Drosophila melanogaster: one gene and its partner. The protein of the gene in region 1 purifies or fractionates together with the protein of each later gene. This does not show direct contact. Each region holds a gene or a part of one and is shown on either strand. Other genes may lie near its edges. The genes, in order: Elba2 and Elba3.

What was found.
Region 2: the proteins of Elba2 (region 1) and Elba3 fractionate together in Drosophila melanogaster (co-fractionation; one study listed by BioGRID). This does not show direct contact.

The regions. Positions count from the first base shown.
Region 1 is NT_033779.5:2,575,746-2,579,743, forward strand, and holds Elba2 (early boundary activity 2), read left to right. Parts: upstream 1-1,941; 5' UTR 1,942-2,117; coding exon 2,118-3,263; 3' UTR 3,264-3,434; downstream 3,435-3,998. Other genes in the region: insv (insensitive), read right to left, coding at 1-827, 892-900; ND-B17.2 (NADH dehydrogenase (ubiquinone) B17.2 subunit), read right to left, coding at 3,611-3,681, 3,738-3,822, 3,874-3,998. UniProt on the Drosophila melanogaster protein: The heterotrimeric Elba complex is required for chromatin domain boundary function during early embryogenesis.
Region 2 is NT_033779.5:4,685,581-4,689,535, reverse strand, and holds Elba3 (early boundary activity 3), read right to left. Parts: upstream 2,026-3,955; 5' UTR 1,888-2,025; coding exon 748-1,887; 3' UTR 580-747; downstream 1-579. Other genes in the region: CG3251 (uncharacterized protein), read left to right, coding at 1-476; CG11929 (uncharacterized protein), read right to left, coding at 2,431-3,955. UniProt on the Drosophila melanogaster protein: The heterotrimeric Elba complex is required for chromatin domain boundary function during early embryogenesis.

The DNA of each region.
Region 1 (3,998 bases):
AGCGAGCACACCGACCAGTTAATATTCTCGAAGACACTGGCGGGCACACAGGTGTTGTTCGGGCCAATGGACACCATCACGTTGTCCATGTTTTGCTGTTGGCCCTTGTTGAGATCGGTAAAACTGCCATTACGGGCTTTGACTTGGGGTTTGGCTGGTAGTTTTATGTTCTGCCGCGGGATTTCTTCCTGCAACTGAATCTCCTGCAGCTTGCGGCGTTTGATGAACTGTAGTGGAGTGTCGGCGGACTCGGAGGAACCATCCCTCTTTATGCCGTTGCTAATCCTGTACTGCTGCTGGGAATTGTGATGATTGCTCTGCTGATGATTCTCGTCGCCCAGGCAAATCTCCAGGCGATCTGAGTCCGCAGAGGTGCTCAGGCTGTTCAGACTCTCCGCCGCCAGGCGAATCTCAATGGCATCCGCATCGTCGGGTGCCGAGATGATCTTGTAGTCCAGAATCTGGGGATTCTGCGCGGGCGCACATATCTCTGAACTCGGTGGCGTGAGAATGTGGTGGCTCTGGACCGCGGGCGGCGTGGGTGGTCTACTTTCTGCCAGCAGGGAGGATGCCTGTTGCATCCTGGCGGAGGTGGCATGAATCTGGGATAGCAGATCCTTGTGCTGCTGCAGTTTGGCCTCCAAGTAGCGGACCTTATCGCGGAGCGCTCTGTTCTCGACCTCCACTTGCGGGTCCGGCGCGGAGATGCTGCGAAGCACCTCGAAGTCCACGCTAGAAGTCTGCGACCAGGCATTCAGAAACAAGGGCTTGCTCCTCCTTGCCTGCGAATCCTCGCGTGCAGTGGCGCTGACTATGCGCTGATATTGCTGCAATTCGATGGGAAAAACTCTTGATCAACATATTCGGTGGAGATATCCTGCAGCTACTCACGTTTTCCATGTTCAATCCTCAAAGGATCTGCGTCAACTGAAAATTGGCGGCAGAATGCGAAAAGTGGTTGCATTCCTACCTGCACGCACACATGCGCACGCATATACGGGGAAGAGAGCGCCTGCCTCTGCGTGTGTGTGAGTGTGCCCTCCAGGTAGCTGATATCCTATTCCTGTTTCTGTTTCAGGACCCCGTCTATTTCCCAACTAGTCCAAGTCCAGCTGTCTTTTCCTTTCTTCGCATGGGATTTGTTGTTTGCGCGGGAACCAGTATATGTATTATAATTATTATTATAAATAATTGCGAATAAAGCTGCTTTTGCTCTCTCTTTCATCGACAGGGTTGACACCTAGGGCTATGAAATAAAACTATCGGTTGCAAGTCACGAGGGTTTTAAATTTTTAAGTTCTCTCTATAAAGTTTTTTTCTTTTTCTTTTCAGAATATCCGTTTGGTTAAAATTCTGTATTCTGCACTTTGGCGAAGGTCAGAAAATAAGAGAAAAAAGTAAATGTAACAAAGGAATGTGTAAGAATTCTTTCCACAGTTCCAAGAACCAAAAAGGACAATAGTTGGGTTTTGTAAAAAAAAAACCGGTTTTCAGGACCCGGACTGCATATTATCCATTGCAATTTGAATGTATTGGGAACCCTTCCAATACATGAGATCCTTTTGGAATATAATTCTTCGCTCAAATGCTCTCTGATCGGAAAAAAAACACCCTTAAATTCCATTTTAGAAGGGATACCTATTTAAGGGTAAGTCTACTGGAATTCCGTCCATTGTAATGCATTTTGAATGAGCGGAAAATACACTCAAGGATATATGGTACTGCCTTTAAAATTTCAAGGCATAACTTTTTGAGTTAAAACATGTACGAGTATTTCGTATTTAAGACTAGCCTTCAGAAGCAAACGGTTTTTTAATCATGTTACTCCTATATTTCCATAAGAATTTAAGTAAAGCCTAAAGGCGAATATTTTAGACTCTACTTCCAATTATCGAATGCAAATTATCTTTATTCGGCGACCTTGGCAGCCCTGCAAGATTAAGATTTTCGGATTCTCAGGTATCTGGCGCAAGGAACAATAACTGTTAAGCCGGGCCATAAAACACCAATTTTTCCAACGAATAATACGCAAAATAAGCCAAGAAAGCCGACGCAGCTGCGTTTTTTGCCAGAAATAAACCTTTTTGCCTTTACCTGTTGCCAAAATCCGCGTGCAAATGGCCGGCGGATTTCGACCGTACGATCAGGACTCGTGTCCTAACCTTACAAATAGCGAGGCTCCGGAATTCAGCATGTCAGTCGTTTGCAAAACGGAGCCGCACTACTTTCATCCGCAGACTGCTATCCTGCCCAGCGTCCAGTACTCCCACCCATATCACCACTATCTGAGCCAGTTCGCCCCGAACTTCGTGCCCTACTACTACCGCCTGCTCTCGCGGCCCATAATGAAGCAGGAGGAGATGGACATCGAGAACTACATCAACTACGAGGTGGCCGCCCAGCAGACCATGATGCGCCAGCGGACCCTGAAGCCCCTGGGTCAGCTGCAGATCCAAATGCCGCCTCCCATAATAGTCAACCAGCCAGTTAAGCCAGTTCCCGTTAAGGCAGTGCCAGTCCGCCGAAGCTCTCCGCCCAAGCGACGCGTCATCAATGCCCAGTTGGTAGCGGTAGCCACCGCTTCCGGGGGCATTAAGAACATCGAACCGCGGGTGGAGCCACTGCCTCGCCTGGAGGAATCCTTTAAGCAGCAAGTGGCCAAAATCCAGAAGAGTCAGCACCACTACGAACAACTCTTTGGTCGTCTCACTTCCATGCTAAAGACCCTGAATCAGCGGTACGACAACGATGCCGAGGATGTGCCCGCGCCGCCCTCCAAGAGACCGCGCCACATGTCCACCAGTTCGTCGGAATCGCACATCCCAGATACTGCCTCTGAAAAGGACGAGAAAGACACTCTTGTGCAGTACCCGCACCGAGTGCAAAAGGAGGACGGCAGTGCGGTGTACGTACTGGGACCCAATGGCACCCAGATCACAGCCCATCAGTACGGTGAGGTCTTCTGGACCAACGCCCCGGTGGCCACGAGGTGTCTTCTTTGCGTTGTCTTCAGCAGCGATGAGTTGGCTACCCACACGCTGACCGGGAAGCCGTCGCCCGCATTCTACGGCCGCGAAAGACCCCCAAAGCTCCAGTTAGACCAACGCAAGGTGGACGACATCGTGGTCTGTGTGAGAAACCGGACGGGCGGCAAGGAACGGGTGATTCGGGCCACCATCACTACCAAGTGTGCGGATACCGCCAAGAAGTACAAGAGGCGGGCCAAGAAGGCCCAGAAGGTCGCCATCAAGGAGGAGTATTAGCATGGAGTGGACAACTATTGGCTAGATATAATCCAGCTATGATCAAGCTCTTCTCAACGACGCGCCACGAAAGGCGCAGAAAGACATTGTATATATTCGTAGTAGGTCCTGCTAAAAGTAAAAGTAAAGTTATATAATCTAGCTGTGATTGAATAAAGACAAGATGAAACCAATTCAAAACCTGAATAATATGGGAATAGGCAGAGTTACTTCACTTTTCTGTCCATTGCTAAAATTGTTCTTCGAGTGCAGAGTCAACAAAATTGGGTTTATTAACTCGATCGGGTGTTCTCATCAATCGCAGCCATTTGCACTTGAATTTAAAAATAATTATAAGCTATGCCACACTACTGCTTCTTCGCCTTGGGTTCCCAGGCCTCCACTTTGTTGGGTGTTGTGGAGTAGGGGTAGTAGGCCTCTGCAAGAGCAGGATTGAATTAGGGGGCTTACTTAATGGGAATAGTGCATAGTTACCCTTAGTTCCGGAAAGATTCTCGCTGTGGTCCGCTATCCACTTGTACTTGGGGCGGCATCCATCGCGAATGGGAGGCAGATCGGTCTATAAGGAAAAAGGTAATAACATGTGCGACAAGATGTAGTCTAAACCCACCTTGTAGTGCATCCAGCCGTACCACTCGGCGGGAATCATGGATCCATCGTAGTCCATGTTGACGTGGGGGGCGAACTCGATCCAGCGATTGCGGCCGTAGAAGTAGTACGGGTTCTCGAAGTACT
Region 2 (3,955 bases), 2.1 Mb from region 1:
TGTTTATCGAGGAGCAGGGAAAACTGGTTGATGTGCCCTCCGATAATCTACATCCACTGCCACCAGATGAATTCAAGGCCTGGGACTTTGCTCGCAAGCGGCCCCAACGTCTCCACAATAGCCAAATGGGGAGACAGTCGGTACAAGGTGATCAGCAAGGATTCGTCCCTGACCCGATGCCTGGTACGGCTCCCTCGATGCCACCACCACCGGTGGCCGATCCTCGTCCGGTTAACGTAACAGCACAGCAGCCACCTGTTTTCGGGCCCTCTAGATGGATGGAACCCACCCGGCCGTTGATGCCTAATCCTTTGATGATACATCAGACAGGATCGTTCGTTTTCGTCCAACAACCACGAGTTGGTCCGCCGTCGGTCATGATGCACGTTTTGATAATTGTACACAACGCACCATACATGCTTGCGTTTGATCATGCCCCCCACCCGCCTGCACCCCAGTGCACTGCCCCATTTTAATATATTTTTTTCTTGTTTTTACAAATATGTCAATTTAAATATTTATATTTAACATGTTTAACATGTCGAAAATCAGAATAAAACGTGAAAAACAGAAATATTTATACGTTTATCATTTGCAGATCTTTATATATTTATTCAAATTACCTAAACATATAGTTTACAATTAGTATTTAATTCTAGCCTAATAATATTTACCATTTAAGTTTTAAACTTTCAACGAAACTTAGTAGACTATATATGTATAAAGAAAATGTGATGTGTTTGCCAACTAATGAAGTTCGTCTCCGGATGTGACCTCCACTACCGATCGCACCTCTCCGGACAAACGACTCTGCAGATTCTTGTTGATATTGTCCACCATGTCGAAGGCATCTATGATCATTTGGGCCTCGCCCTGCGCCTTTTCGCTCATCTGTTCCAGACTTTTTCGCAACTCCCTGTGCTCTCCAGTAGTGTCCCGCTGCTCCGCCTTCTGATACAAGCTGGTTCGCGAGAAGAGGGCGGTGGACGTCATGTGATCGGGGTGCTTCTCCAGTTCTTCGGGCAGTGGAAAGTCAATATCAAAAGAGAATCGTTGCAACTCCTCATACTTCGCGTCCTGGACCTCTTTGTCCTGGCCATAGCTGATGACCACCGCCTGGAGGACGATGTCGCTACCAGGAAGTTGCATGTAGGCAATAACGTCCTTAAAGAGATTCTCTTTCCTCCACACGGTTTGTCTGTACTGCACCACCTGGTATACCACCATCTCCGGTTCGGGACTGTATTGCACCAGCATCCAAGTGTCATCATTCATGGCCTCCGGTTCAGCTTCCAAATTATCATCGAAGGCGAGATCAAAGCTTCGCGCTTTCAGGTGCAGTAGTATCTTTTCCATATAATCACGACTTTCGTAGGCATATAGGATGTGGGCAATGCAGCCGGGAGCCAACCTCACCAGAGGATTACCCTTCAGCTCGGGCTTGGTGCTCAGCAGCATTACATTGTTTGGAGAAACAAGTTTCTGGATGAGGCGCTCGCCCGCCTTTTCATTCTCGGTGTACTGGACCAACAGTTGCTGGCCGCCGGCATCTTCCCTCTCCTCCTTGCTCATGGACAGCAATGCTGCATCCACCAGGCGCCTCTCATCCGCTGCCAGTATGAGTTTCGCCTCCAGCACCATTCCATTGACCCGGAATTCTACGAATCGGGTCATGTATTTGTCTGAAACATCTGACTCTAGGAGTTCCATCGAATGGAGAACGCAGAGACGGCGTCGACCATTTGGCTTCCCATCCTTCATCAAGCCGTCATCGACTTCGGCCAGGAACCAGGATAACCGAGTCGCTGCCAATGGTCCATTGGCGCTGACAACGGCTCCACTGTTCGCGGAGTCATCCAATCCACTGTCGTTGCTGATGTTGCTCATGATGGCGGATGTGTTTTAAATATGTTCGGAAAAGATTTGAACAAAGTTTTAATTGATATAATTGGCTTGGCTTTGGTTCTTTTCTACGCGTCTTGTTTGAATGTCTTGATAGGTGAAGAGTTCTTGGCAAACTGATGAACTCCTCCTCGCTGCAAGCTATTTTATAGATGTAAATGGGTTTAGTTAAATGGTTCTACCTGCCGTAAACTCCATACTTTTATCTAGGCTTTCTAATGTCTAACATCTGTCAGTTCGAAGGGATTAAAACTTGGTCCGGCTCATACTGGGATCTAATGTTCTAATTGTGTATTACCTGCGAAGGACGCTGATTGAGCGGATTTTCCCAATGTGCAGCTGCTTAGTGGCAATAAATGCGAATTGCAAGTTTGCGACATTTCTACATAGGAAAATAATTTAATAAAATAAGACAATATATTTTCATAAAAAAAAATTCTAGAAAAATGTTGTTACAAAGTCTTAAGGGAAATTTAAATGGTATGAAAGCTAAAGTGCATTATGGCTATCGAACCCATATGATGAATCCTATTCATCATCTTGAACGTCATTACACTGGCCAGAAATAATGCGTAGGAATAAACTGGATGTCTTGGCCACATCGCTCAAATCCTTAGAAGAAAAATTGTCAACCAAGCTACTAGTGACCGCTCCTCGGCCAGTTAGTTCTCGATTTCCCATTTTGAGGGCATTGGTCACGGAGAAGAAGCGGGACGCTTGTCCAGCGGGCAGACCGAGCACACGAGTGCAAAATTCGACGACCCTTTCCTTGTCGGCACTTCCATCTGGTGCAATCTCACCGCCGCACTGCCGACGGCAAAGTTCGTCCAGTGGACAGTCCCTGGGATCGTACTGCCTGTTTTTGTCCAGCTCACAGAACGTGGGAATGTCCTCGAATAATCCTATCCCGATAGCTTGGTTGATGGCCCTCCCACTTCCCAGAATGCAGCCTAGGTCCTTGCCGGTTGCCATCTCACGCACCTTGATGTGGTAGACATTATCCTCTTGACGCAGTATGGTAAGGACCACGTCATCGAAGGGCCGCTGCCCAATTAGCCGAAATATTTCATCCATCAAGGAATCCAGAATGGGCAGACTGCCATCGCCACAGTATTGACAACCACGTGGCGGGTTATTCATCCGCTGGGTGTTCCTAAAAATTGCACTTGGTTTAGATTCTCCTTCTAGTTGACAGGAACCCCTACGTCCGTTCGCATCCAATTCCATATCCGACGTCTTAAGTTCCGATTTCAGTGCAGTGGATTTAATATTATGAGGAGTTTTCGAACAATTGAAGCTGGTCATCGGATTGGCACCCAAAATGGTTTTCTTCTCTGATATGCTCACTTTTTTGGGTCTGTCCTCCTCGAGGCTGTTGGATCTCGTAAACATTTTTACGAATTCCGGCAGTAAGCGATCGAATGAGTAGGACTCTGATTGGGCATTCTGCGCCTGATTATTTTCACACGACTTGGATTTTGTGAAATGACTAATAAGCTGTTCAATAAAGGATTTGTATAATTCCTTCTCTACACTTTTATTGGATTGTTCGGAACTCTTTGCCTCCAAGCAAGATGTGGAGGAAACCTTTGATTTGGGTTTTTTAACAATTTCACCCAGTAAGTTTTCAACCCCATGTTCAGTATCATTTTGTTTCGTGGGATTTGCAGAGAAAGCTGAAGTATTTCTAGACTTGTCGGAAAGTGTTTCTTCGCTTTTTGTTTTAGCAAAAACCCGATTAAATTGTTCTAGAAAATTTTCGGTATCTTTTAAGCATTGTTTAGCAGTTGGGAATTGGTCACCTTTCAGATGCATTTCATATCCATTCGCCTTACAACATCTCCGATTGTCTTTGCTAGAACTTCCATTACATTCTCTACTGCATTGTAGACCAGTTGAGTTTTCCGAGTTTATTGGGGTATCTGTGGTGCGTTGAGAATTATTTGATTTCTGCTTTTCTTGAGCAGTTTCAGGCTTCAAAAATATTTGAATAAATTCTTTGGATAGCGTTTTGCACTCGCAATTAGCTGTATCTTTTTTTTGTGTAGCCTGA